Saccharomyces cerevisiae S288C: one gene and its partner. The protein of the gene in region 1 purifies or fractionates together with the protein of each later gene. This does not show direct contact. Each region holds a gene or a part of one and is shown in the gene's direction. Other genes may lie near its edges.

Region 1 (5,999 bases):
ATGACTTGCGAAGGCATGATGCTTTGATTTTGTAGATATGTAGTTAAATAATTTTCTTAGGTATCTTCCAATCAGAGACATTGTGAGACAGTAAAGCAGTAGTTTGCGCTAGAAATATCTTGTAGTCCCTCTTTTATATTCGTAGTATGTTATATAGATTACAATCTAGACAATACGAAGGAACGATCCCGCGTCAGCAGATGTCACAATTTGATTATTTCATTGTCACATGCTTTTTGACTCATCCTTCCGCGAAAGGAGAACTTTTTACAATGCCGCCGGCTCTGTTAGCGTACCCTTCTACAAGCAGATAGCAGAACAAACACATGATATATTCAAAAGGTGCAATGTCAGAGAACATATATTGCGCCCCTGTCCTGTAGACATCAGTCATTTTTCGCGGGACTTGAATGGCGCACCATTATCCTATACAGAAAACATTAAATTTACTGCAAAATTTTGGGCAAACGCTTGGATAGACTATGAATCCGTCATGAAGACACTACTTGTAAAATTATATATATCCTTTTTTTTCATGTGCTAGTAAGAATTAGCAACTACTTTCATTCATCTTCGACGCAACTTCGAGGAAAGCACCTTTTTACTTGCTGTAGCTCTATTCTCTTCCCCAACCACCTTTTCCTTTATTCCAAAATTTTTAAAACTTTTTCTGTTACATTATATAATCTTCTGTCTGAAATGTTTGGATATAACGCCTCTTGATCCACTTTGTATATGCGTGCTATTTATTTTCAGATTTATAAAGAGTATGAGCGTCATTTACATAAATAGCTGAAGTTATTCATGGAAAATACGAAGAGCACGTATGTGAGCCAACAGAACATTTGACGTAAGACTCTACAATGTGCCAAGAACTGGACAAGTAGAGGACTGAGAACTTTATTTCAATTCATTGCTCCTTTTTGGTGGCGCTACCTTTAGCGAAGGTCAATGATGAATGTGCACATGCTGTCGAAACCAAAAAGCAAATTCTAACCAACTTCAAAATGACATAGTCATCTGATATTTCTACTCATTATAGATAGTATGGGAGCCTTGAAACGAAAAGTAAGTAAAAAGCTGGATATGAGCAGTATGAGGTAGACCTTAGCTACATCATTTCCCCCAATAGCTGCTGCAAATATCTGGTTAAATTTGTGATTCCATGAAGAGGATAACAGACTTGTTAAAAAGCATCCTGTCAAAATCTAATTTTTGAAGGGCAGTATTCAATTCATAATTTACTTTAGCTTAGATCCTTCCAATTTATACATGGTATTATAACCAGATCATAAACTACAATCTGTCGCTACCGCATGTACGAAGAATACTTAAGTCACTTGCTCTCTCATCATTTGTACATTTTTCAGTAATACCGTTTGATAGCGCCGTCTTTATTACCCGGATTATTCCGTTGACCCTGAATGAAAAATTTTTTCAGAAATCCAGTGCTAAGCGTCAAATCAATGAAATACATCACTGTATTTTTAACTGATATACTGTTGGTGTGGCCTTAACGACACCTTTATTTCTTAATTCATTTCGGCTTGTCTCCTTATTAAGACTACAGAAATAGACAAAGGAAATACTTCAATAATGGATAACGAGGTTGAAAAAAATATTGAGATCTGGAAGGTCAAGAAGTTGGTCCAATCTTTAGAAAAAGCTAGAGGTAATGGTACTTCTATGATTTCCTTAGTTATTCCTCCTAAGGGTCAAATTCCACTGTACCAAAAAATGTTAACAGATGAATATGGTACTGCCTCGAATATTAAATCTAGGGTTAATCGTCTTTCCGTTTTATCTGCTATCACTTCCACCCAACAAAAGTTGAAGCTATATAATACTTTGCCCAAGAACGGTTTAGTTTTATATTGTGGTGATATCATCACTGAAGATGGTAAAGAAAAAAAGGTCACTTTTGACATCGAACCTTACAAACCTATCAACACATCCTTATATTTGTGTGATAACAAATTTCATACAGAAGTTCTTTCGGAATTGCTTCAAGCTGACGACAAGTTCGGTTTTATAGTCATGGACGGTCAAGGTACTTTGTTTGGTTCTGTGTCCGGTAATACGAGAACTGTTTTACATAAATTTACTGTCGATCTGCCAAAAAAGCATGGTAGAGGTGGTCAATCTGCGCTTCGTTTTGCTCGTTTAAGAGAAGAAAAAAGACATAATTATGTGAGAAAGGTCGCCGAAGTTGCTGTTCAAAATTTTATTACTAATGACAAAGTCAATGTTAAGGGTTTAATTTTAGCTGGTTCTGCTGACTTTAAGACCGATTTGGCTAAATCTGAATTATTCGATCCAAGACTAGCATGTAAGGTTATTTCCATCGTGGATGTTTCTTATGGTGGTGAAAACGGTTTCAACCAGGCTATCGAACTTTCTGCCGAAGCGTTGGCCAATGTCAAGTATGTTCAAGAAAAGAAATTATTGGAGGCATATTTTGACGAAATTTCCCAGGACACTGGTAAATTCTGTTATGGTATAGATGATACTTTAAAGGCATTGGATTTAGGTGCAGTCGAAAAATTAATTGTTTTCGAAAATTTGGAAACTATCAGATATACATTTAAAGATGCCGAGGATAATGAGGTTATAAAATTCGCTGAACCAGAAGCCAAGGACAAGTCGTTTGCTATTGACAAAGCTACCGGCCAAGAAATGGACGTTGTCTCCGAAGAACCTTTAATTGAATGGCTAGCAGCTAACTACAAAAACTTCGGTGCTACCTTGGAATTCATCACAGACAAATCTTCAGAAGGTGCCCAATTTGTCACAGGTTTTGGTGGTATTGGTGCCATGCTGCGTTACAAAGTTAATTTTGAACAACTAGTTGATGAATCTGAGGATGAATATTATGACGAAGATGAAGGATCCGACTATGATTTCATTTAAATAAATAAAAGGGGGAGAAAAAAATCGAATCAAAAAGAATTTAATCACTAGATGCCAGATTTAAATTAAATTCGCTTTTAATTTTTTGTACAATATAATATATACTTGGTAAACCTTTTGCTCTATATTGAGCTAATTCCTTTGTTGAAAGTACATAGTGGGTTTAGAGGACCGTGTATATTACGTAGAAAATACAGTGAAAGGAGAGTTTCTCTTCAAAAGCCTCGAGATTAATTATTTCTCTTTTTCTTTTTCTTCAAAGTTTCTAAGGCGTTTGTCTTTTCATGACCAATGATAGAATTATGACCTCTTTTTTTGACCAAGTTATCAGCTAAATTCACTAGCCCACCTGTCAAATATTTCTGTCTTCTATCTTTACGTATAGGCACTGATAACAATTCGTTCAACGTAGCTCTCATGGCTTTTACCTTGTCCTTATTTATAGTCTTCTGCATTTTTTTATTTTTATTTTTTAGTAAGAAAGTGTCCGAATTACTCTTTGATATATCGTCTTCGTCGGAATCAACGTCAATACCTAATTCATCAGCAGCCTTTTTTAACCAATTGTCATCTTTTCTTAGGGAATTAGAAGCAATTTCATGATCAGCCAGTTCGCCTGCTAATCTACTTCTTTCTCTGAGTTGTGAAAGTATATCGGTTTCAATTGGTAACAAAGGCACAGTGTTTTGCCACTTGATGGGTTTTCTGTTAGTTGATCTAGAGTTCAAATCCGTCGAAACACTATTTTTTGTAGCGAGAGTTTTTCTTAACTTTCTTAATGGGCCCATAGATTCTTGAGGTGAGCATATCATGGCAGAGACACCTTCAGAACCTGCTCTTGCAGTTCTGCCTGATCTATGAATATAAATATCAGTAGATCTTGGTAAGTGGTAATGAATAACGTGTTGAACACCCGGAATATCTAAACCTCTAGCAGCAACATCACTTGCAATCAATACTGTTGAGAGTTGAACGGAATCCGGATTCGAATGATTTATTGTTTTCTGTTTAGCGCTTTGTTGCTTGAACCTTTCTAAGCTTTTCAAACGGTTCTTTTGTGTCATGGAAGAATGAATTTGAAAAGCTGGGATGCCTAGGTTATTTAAGTATACGGTCAATTTCTTCACGGAGTCAATGGCATTACAAAAGATCAAAGTTGTACCTGGGAACATGGTTAAAAAGTAATAGCAGTATAGGTCACGTTCTAATGGAGGACATTCAATTAAGGATTCTTTGATTTGAGAGCTCACTTTTGACTCAGGATTTGTATCTATTATAACCGGCTTTGAGTTGAAGTGAATTTTGCTCATTAAGTGTTGTATTACGGCATTTAGCTCATCTTCGTTGTTTTTAAACCTTCTATCCTTAACTTGACGGGAAGAAGATAGCTTATCAAACAAGTCGATGGAGAATGTTGCAGAAAAGATCAAAGTTTGCCAAATTTTGCTACTGCCCTCGGAGTTTTCTCTGTTTTTCCTTCTTTCTACTAATAAATGTTTAATGATTTTTTCGAACTCGTCGAAATGACCGTCTTGTAACAGCCTATCAGCCTCATCAAGGATTAGCGTATTTACTTTCGAGAATCTTTTGATTAAAGTGTTGTCTTTTTCCAACAGTTCCAAAAATCTACCTGGTGTTGCGATGACAATTTGGCCACTATTATCGTACTTTAATAGACGTTGTTGTTTTTGGATAGAGAGTCCACCTGTCAAAGATAATATCGAGTACTGAGATTTCGCTAGAACAGGCTCACAGATCTTTTTTAAGTGGTCTGTGACTTGATGCGCCAGTTCTCTTGTAGGAGTAAAGATTAACGATATTGGTTTCTTGTTTTTCTGAGAGAAGTTACTGATCAGTTTCTCTACAATTGGAATACCATAGGCTAAAGTTTTACCTGAACCTGTAGAGGCTTTCCCCATGACGTCTACGCCTTGCATAATAACTGGAATAGACTTTTTTTGAATTTCTGTAGGTCTGAGAAAATTTAAATTCTGCAAGCTCTGCAAAATAGTCATTGAGAGAGGTGCAAGATTCGTCCATTCAGGTAAATTTACAGGAGAAATATCATCGATATTAATGTCTTTGTTAAAGACGTTTTCTTTCAAAACATCCTCATCCACATCCTCATCCACATCCTCACTGGGATCGGTTAACTTTGAACTCTCAATATTACCTTGCTCATCCTCGTCGGATGATGAATAAGATGCTGCACTCAACTCTCCTTCTTTAATATCGTCCAAGTTCTTGAATTCAAGGAGCTCGGACTCCGAATCTGACCCTGATTCATTTTCCACAGATTCCTGATCATCTCCGACTTTTTCCTTATTGCTATCTTTTAACACTTTTGAATCTTTTTTGGTGACGAAAGTTACTTTACCATCCACGACTTTAACGTCCACTCCGTCAATTTCTTCCAAGCCATAAAATCCACCAAAGTCATCTAAAGTGTCCGGAATATCTACTGGTTTCCAGTTCAATTTGGATTCATCTACAATTATCTCCTGTGGCTTTGTGACCGTTTTTCCTTTTTGAGGAGCCCTTTTCTTACCCATGATGGAAAAACTGATTATGCCGGTATTTGACTAAAGAATTTCTACCTGAGGTTATGATGATAATGATGGGCAGGTTGGCGAATATAACTTTTTTAGATGGAAATTCTTATAAGCTCATCGCTGGAAAAGTTTTTCAGAGAAAAAGAAAAGTACGGACTAACTAACCTTGAGGCGGGTTTGTGAGGTGAAAAAAAATATAACAATTATAATATCGATGAGCTAGCCATGACCTTGATGGCAATCTTGTATCAGCTTAGCGATACCACTAATACAGCGGAATGCATTCAAGAAAGTCGAAGAGTATTACGGGCAAGAGGAAGCAAGTAGGAAGTAACGTGACGAGAGTAATCAAGCCACAGAAGACAAGAAGGATAATAAGAAGATTCCACCATTTAATTAATAAGCGTCAATCGATATGCAAGTTTTTATGCCTTAAGGAAAACCTAGATGATTCCAACGAGGAGAAGAATGACAAAATTATCAGGTTAAGTATTAAAGGTAATGTAAGACTGGGCAAGTACTATGAAGACGGCAAAT
Region 2 (5,387 bases), on another chromosome or scaffold:
CTTCCATGAGTGAGTTACAGAGGCGAAATCACAAATTTACGGTCGAGAATGTTACTCAATGGCAAGATCAACTGGTAAAACAGTTGGATACACACCTCCCTCAAGAAATACCCGTTGTAATTAATAATTCTTCGTCGCTTTTAATAATCCCTGAATTGCACAATTATTTGAGTGCTTTGATTTCAGACGTTATTGAGTCTCCAGGCATTGGTACTGCTGGAAGCGCTGAAAGTCGTTGGGAGTATGATTTGAATCGCTATGTAAAGGAAATTCTTTCGAATGAGTTGCAATATATCGATAAGGATTATTTCATCCAAGAAATGAACAGAAGGTTGCAATCTAACAAACAGGAGATTTGGGAAGAGATCACAAATAGGTTAGAGACACAGCAGCAGCAGCAGCAGCAGCAGGTTCAACAGGATTATTCTAACGTGCCACAGCAGTATTCGAGCATATTAATGAAAAGATTAATTCACCAAATTTACAATTCCAATCAACACCAATGGGAGGACGATTTAGATTTTGCTACTTATGTTCAAGGTACTAAACTATTGAACCATTTAACTTCACCAACCTGGAGACAGGGCAGTGGGGTACAGCCGATAGAATTACTGACCGACTCCAAACAAAGCTCCTCAACTTACTGGCAATGTGAGAACGAACCTGGGTGTTCATGGGCCATAAGGTTTAAAACTCCTTTGTATCTAACCAAAATTTCGTACATGCATGGCCGTTTTACTAATAACCTACATATAATGAACTCAGCACCAAGACTGATCTCATTATATGTAAAACTGTCACAGACTAAAGAGATCAAAGCATTGCAGACATTGGCAAATCAATACGGTTTCGGGCAGCATCACAAGAGAGACCGAAATTACATCAAGATCGCAAAATTTGAGTACAGGTTGACAGATTCTAGAATACGCCAACAAATGTATCTGCCCCCATGGTTCATTCAGTTAAAACCACTCGTACGCTCAATTGTCTTTCAAGTGGACGAGAACTACGGGAACAAAAAGTTCATATCTCTGAGGAAATTTATCATCAACGGAGTGACACCGCAGGATTTGCAAATAATTGAAAATAACGAGTTCCCTGTTTTACTGGGTGACACCCCAGAATATGGTGTCACTCAGAACACCGACGAAGGCAAGAGGAAAGTTCTCCTATCAAAGCCTCCTTACGCGTCTTCATCTACTAGTACCAAGTTTCATCCCGCTTCTAACGTCCCATCATTTGGCCAAGATGAGCTAGATCAATAAACGACAATAAAAAATTAAACGTTCTAACCCCCTGGCCCCCAGAAAATCGCGCAGATTGACGGCACTCCCTTTAAATCATAGAGTTAATCAGCTACTCACCACTCTCTTTCGGTACTGGCGTTATTCTGAATTCCAACCTTGAACACAGCCACACGGCATTCAGATGTTGCTCCCATGCGTGGACTCACGCTCTGCGATTAACAGCTCATGGAAATTTCCTCGTGCTATTTAAGACTGCAGTCGTTTGGAAATCGGAATATCTTTTTTCGTGCAGTTTTGCGGGAAATTTTCCCTACTTAAAAAGCTGAATGAAAATCAGAAATATCTGCAAAAAAAAAAGGTAAAAAAGGGAAATTTTAAGACATAGCATAAAGGACTTGGTTTTGTTTCAATACTCAGCCCTTTTCATTCATTTCTATCACAAGTTTTTTTTTGCTCTCGTTTCCATTTTCTTCGTTTACTTATTATTGACGTACATCTTTTTTAGTTTCAAATAACATAGCAAGAAGGCTTAACTAAGTTCCTATATTCTTGGCATATTTATCATCATCAGGTCTTTTAAAAGTATCTCAGAACGTAACTTCAACGCCTTTAGATTTTTTTCACAACACGACTCTATTGCAAGAGACAAAAAAAATTAAAATGGGCATTTTGGACTCGCTGAAAAAACCTGTTAATATCAAGAGTTCGCTCCCCAAATTCTCCCGCAGTGCTACCAGCATCAATTTAAGTAGCCACCCAGTAAGTTCACGGTCCTTCCTCGAATTACCACCAGAGCTTTTCAGCATCACTAAACCTATATTTAAGCTTCTGCAAGCACACGCAAATAAGATTTACTTCCAATCTTCCGACGCTGAGGCTGTATGGAATGTTAAGGATTCTTCTGGACATGTTTTTGAAGCAGAGTCAATTTCTTTGCTCGGCTCTCATATAATTATCACAAATTCCTCTGTACAAGTCGCAGACGTGGCCATCATAGATTCCCCTTCCAACATAAACCAATGTGAAATTTCAAGCGTTGGAGAGTTCCTGCAATTCAATAATGGCCAACTATCTATCACATGTAACGATTTTGGTTTACTGGAGAAGTTCAAAAGGTTGTGTATGATTTCTATTTTTGAGTTCATTTCTATATATAAGGCCTTGACAGGCACAGTGATTTCCTCTTATGGGCTGAGAATGTCTGATATGCATATCATTTTGAACTCGCCGTTCAATTTTAAGGATTGGTGTGAAGTTTATCTTGATGGTCAAGGTTGGGTGAAAGTGTGGTGTCATATTGATAAAGTGTCTAAAACCAATAATTCTAAAAGTAGTAGTGACAATGATGCTAAAGGAAAGTATCAAATACGGTTTTATAGAGATGACAAATCCACATCTAGCAAGAACTGCGTTTTTTTTATTCCTGACAATGAGTACGTTCAAGATATTTTCTTTTATAACATCAATGCGGCAGAACCTTCTAAAAATATGAACGACTTTTTTCAAGGGTTGCAAATGATAAAGCTCGTTGGTAATGTACGCTTTTGCAGTGATACGGACTTTAATGATGTGGTGGATAGTGGATCCATCTATAGTAGTGCAAACAACGGCAGTGGTGACAGCAGCTCGACAGCATTGAATAATGAAAGTCCTAACACTACACCAAAAAGTAGAACTTTCTTTTCACCTAAAGGGCACAGAAGAAATAGCTCCCATGTAAGTTCGTTAACTTCTAGATCAACAAAAAAGCCTATAACTAACTTCACTACACGTACAAATGGGCTTTTGATTAGGCCATTGCCCCATCATGGCGTACATCACCTGGAAGCAATGATCAGGTTCATTATTCCTTTGATGGATTGTGCAAGACTTTATGGGCGTCCAGTTCAATTCAAGACAGAAAGAACCGATATAAATTCGTTAATGTTTGGATTACCTAAATTGCCCTCAGTGGATTATTTTGCTGAAGAGGAGATTGCCCATTTGATGACCCAGGAATTTAATCCTTTGAAAGAAAAAGATACTGACGATACTATGGCTTTAACTATGTCAAGATTTTCTAGCTACCTGCAAGAAAGAATGACAAAAGTCTCCAAGAGAAACACAGAACTCAACTTCAGGACCTTTAGTGATGTAATGGGCATGTATAATACTACGAGGGATCACTCTAAACTTAATTGCATGAGTGACAAGGATAATTCTGTGAAGGAATTTTCATTGAGTGATAAAAGCAATGTTAGTTCTGAAACGACTAATATGATGAATCAATTGCAAGTAAACGCCCATGAATACAAAAGTTCTATGTGCGAACGTCCTATCGTCGCAAGTACTTCGCCCATTGCATAGTTCTTCGCATATATAGCCACATCTCAAAAACTTACATACAGTGTATATATTTGTGGTACAGTTTCTGTATAGCCAAATATACCCTGATATAATCTTATGTGATATTATATACTTCCATCCTAATACTAAACTTTTTCGTTTAACGTGACGCATGGTGCGAAGAAAAAAAAATAGCAAATCGCCACTCAATAAAGTGAGTAGAGAGCATTATATCAAAAAAGCATCGATAATATCGAGTGATCATACGTTGAAAATCATCAAGTACAATAGTGATATAAGCCACAATGCAAGCTCCAGTGGTATTTATGAATGCTTCTCAAGAGAGAACTACCGGTCGTCAGGCCCAAATCTCCAATATCACTGCTGCAAAGGCAGTTGCCGATGTCATTCGAACTTGCTTAGGTCCAAAAGCTATGTTAAAGATGTTATTGGATCCTATGGGCGGTCTTGTGTTGACTAACGATGGCCACGCTATTTTAAGGGAAATTGATGTTGCACATCCAGCAGCTAAATCAATGTTGGAGTTATCCCGTACTCAAGACGAAGAGGTTGGTGACGGGACTACAACAGTTATTATTCTAGCTGGTGAGATTTTAGCTCAGTGTGCACCTTATTTGATTGAAAAAAATATTCACCCTGTTATTATTATCCAAGCCTTGAAGAAAGCACTGACTGATGCACTAGAAGTTATCAAACAAGTAAGTAAACCTGTCGATGTGGAAAATGATGCCGCTATGAAAAAATTGATTCAAGCCTCTATCGGTACTAAATATGTCATACATTGGTCAGAGAAAATGTGTGAATTAGCTCTAGACGCTGTTAAGACTGTCCGTAAAGACCTGGGACAAACTGTGGAAGGTGAACCTAATTTTGAAATCGATATCAAAAGATATGTCCGTGTGGAGAAGATTCCTGGGGGGGATGTTCTAGATTCTCGCGTCTTAAAGGGTGTCTTATTGAACAAGGATGTTGTTCATCCAAAGATGTCCCGTCACATAGAGAATCCACGTGTTGTTCTTTTGGATTGTCCACTAGAATATAAGAAGGGTGAATCTCAAACCAACATAGAAATTGAAAAGGAGGAAGATTGGAATAGGATTTTACAAATCGAGGAAGAACAAGTTCAGCTAATGTGTGAACAAATTTTAGCCGTTAGGCCAACACTAGTCATCACTGAAAAAGGTGTTTCAGATCTAGCACAGCATTATTTACTAAAGGGTGGATGTAGTGTTTTAAGAAGAGTGAAGAAATCAGACAATAATAGAATTGCTCGTGTAACTGGTGCAACCATTGTCAATCGTGTAGAGGACTTGAAGGAAAGTGATGTCGGTACAAACTGTGGATTATTCAAAGTAGAAATGATTGGGGACGAATATTTCTCATTTTTGGATAACTGCAAGGAACCAAAAGCTTGTACCATAATGTTACGTGGTGGTTCCAAAGATATATTAAACGAAATAGATCGTAACCTACAAGATGCTATGGCTGTTGCTCGTAATGTGATGTTGAGTCCTTCCTTGTCCCCAGGTGGTGGTGCCACCGAGATGGCAGTTTCTGTCAAATTAGCAGAAAAGGCAAAGCAATTAGAAGGGATCCAGCAATGGCCATACCAAGCTGTAGCTGATGCTATGGAGTGTATTCCACGTACTTTGATACAAAATGCAGGTGGTGATCCTATTAGACTCCTATCCCAACTAAGAGCCAAACACGCACAGGGAAATTTTACAACAGGTATTGATGGTGACAAGGGGAAAATTGTAGATATGGTTAGTTACGGTATTTGGGAACCTGAAG

What was found.
Region 2: the proteins of SUP45 (region 1) and TPH3 purify together in Saccharomyces cerevisiae (affinity purification with mass spectrometry, with the first as the bait; one large-scale study listed by BioGRID). This does not show direct contact.

Annotation. Positions count from the first base shown.
Region 1 is NC_001134.8:527,780-533,778, reverse strand, and holds SUP45 (translation termination factor eRF1), read left to right. Parts: upstream 1-1,596; coding exon 1,597-2,910; downstream 2,911-5,999. Other genes in the region: alcohol dehydrogenase ADH5, read right to left, coding at 1-17; YBR144C (uncharacterized protein), read left to right, coding at 230-544; MAK5 (ATP-dependent RNA helicase), read right to left, coding at 3,141-5,462; BMT2 (25S rRNA (adenine2142-N1)-methyltransferase), read left to right, coding at 5,741-5,999. UniProt on the Saccharomyces cerevisiae protein: Component of the eRF1-eRF3-GTP ternary complex, a ternary complex that mediates translation termination in response to the termination codons. The eRF1-eRF3-GTP complex binds to a stop codon in the ribosomal A-site.
Region 2 is NC_001142.9:403,681-409,067, forward strand, and holds TPH3 (Tph3p), read left to right. Parts: upstream 1-1,907; coding exon 1,908-3,593; downstream 3,594-5,387. Other genes in the region: MPS3 (Mps3p), read left to right, coding at 1-1,265; chaperonin-containing T-complex subunit CCT3, read left to right, coding at 3,878-5,387.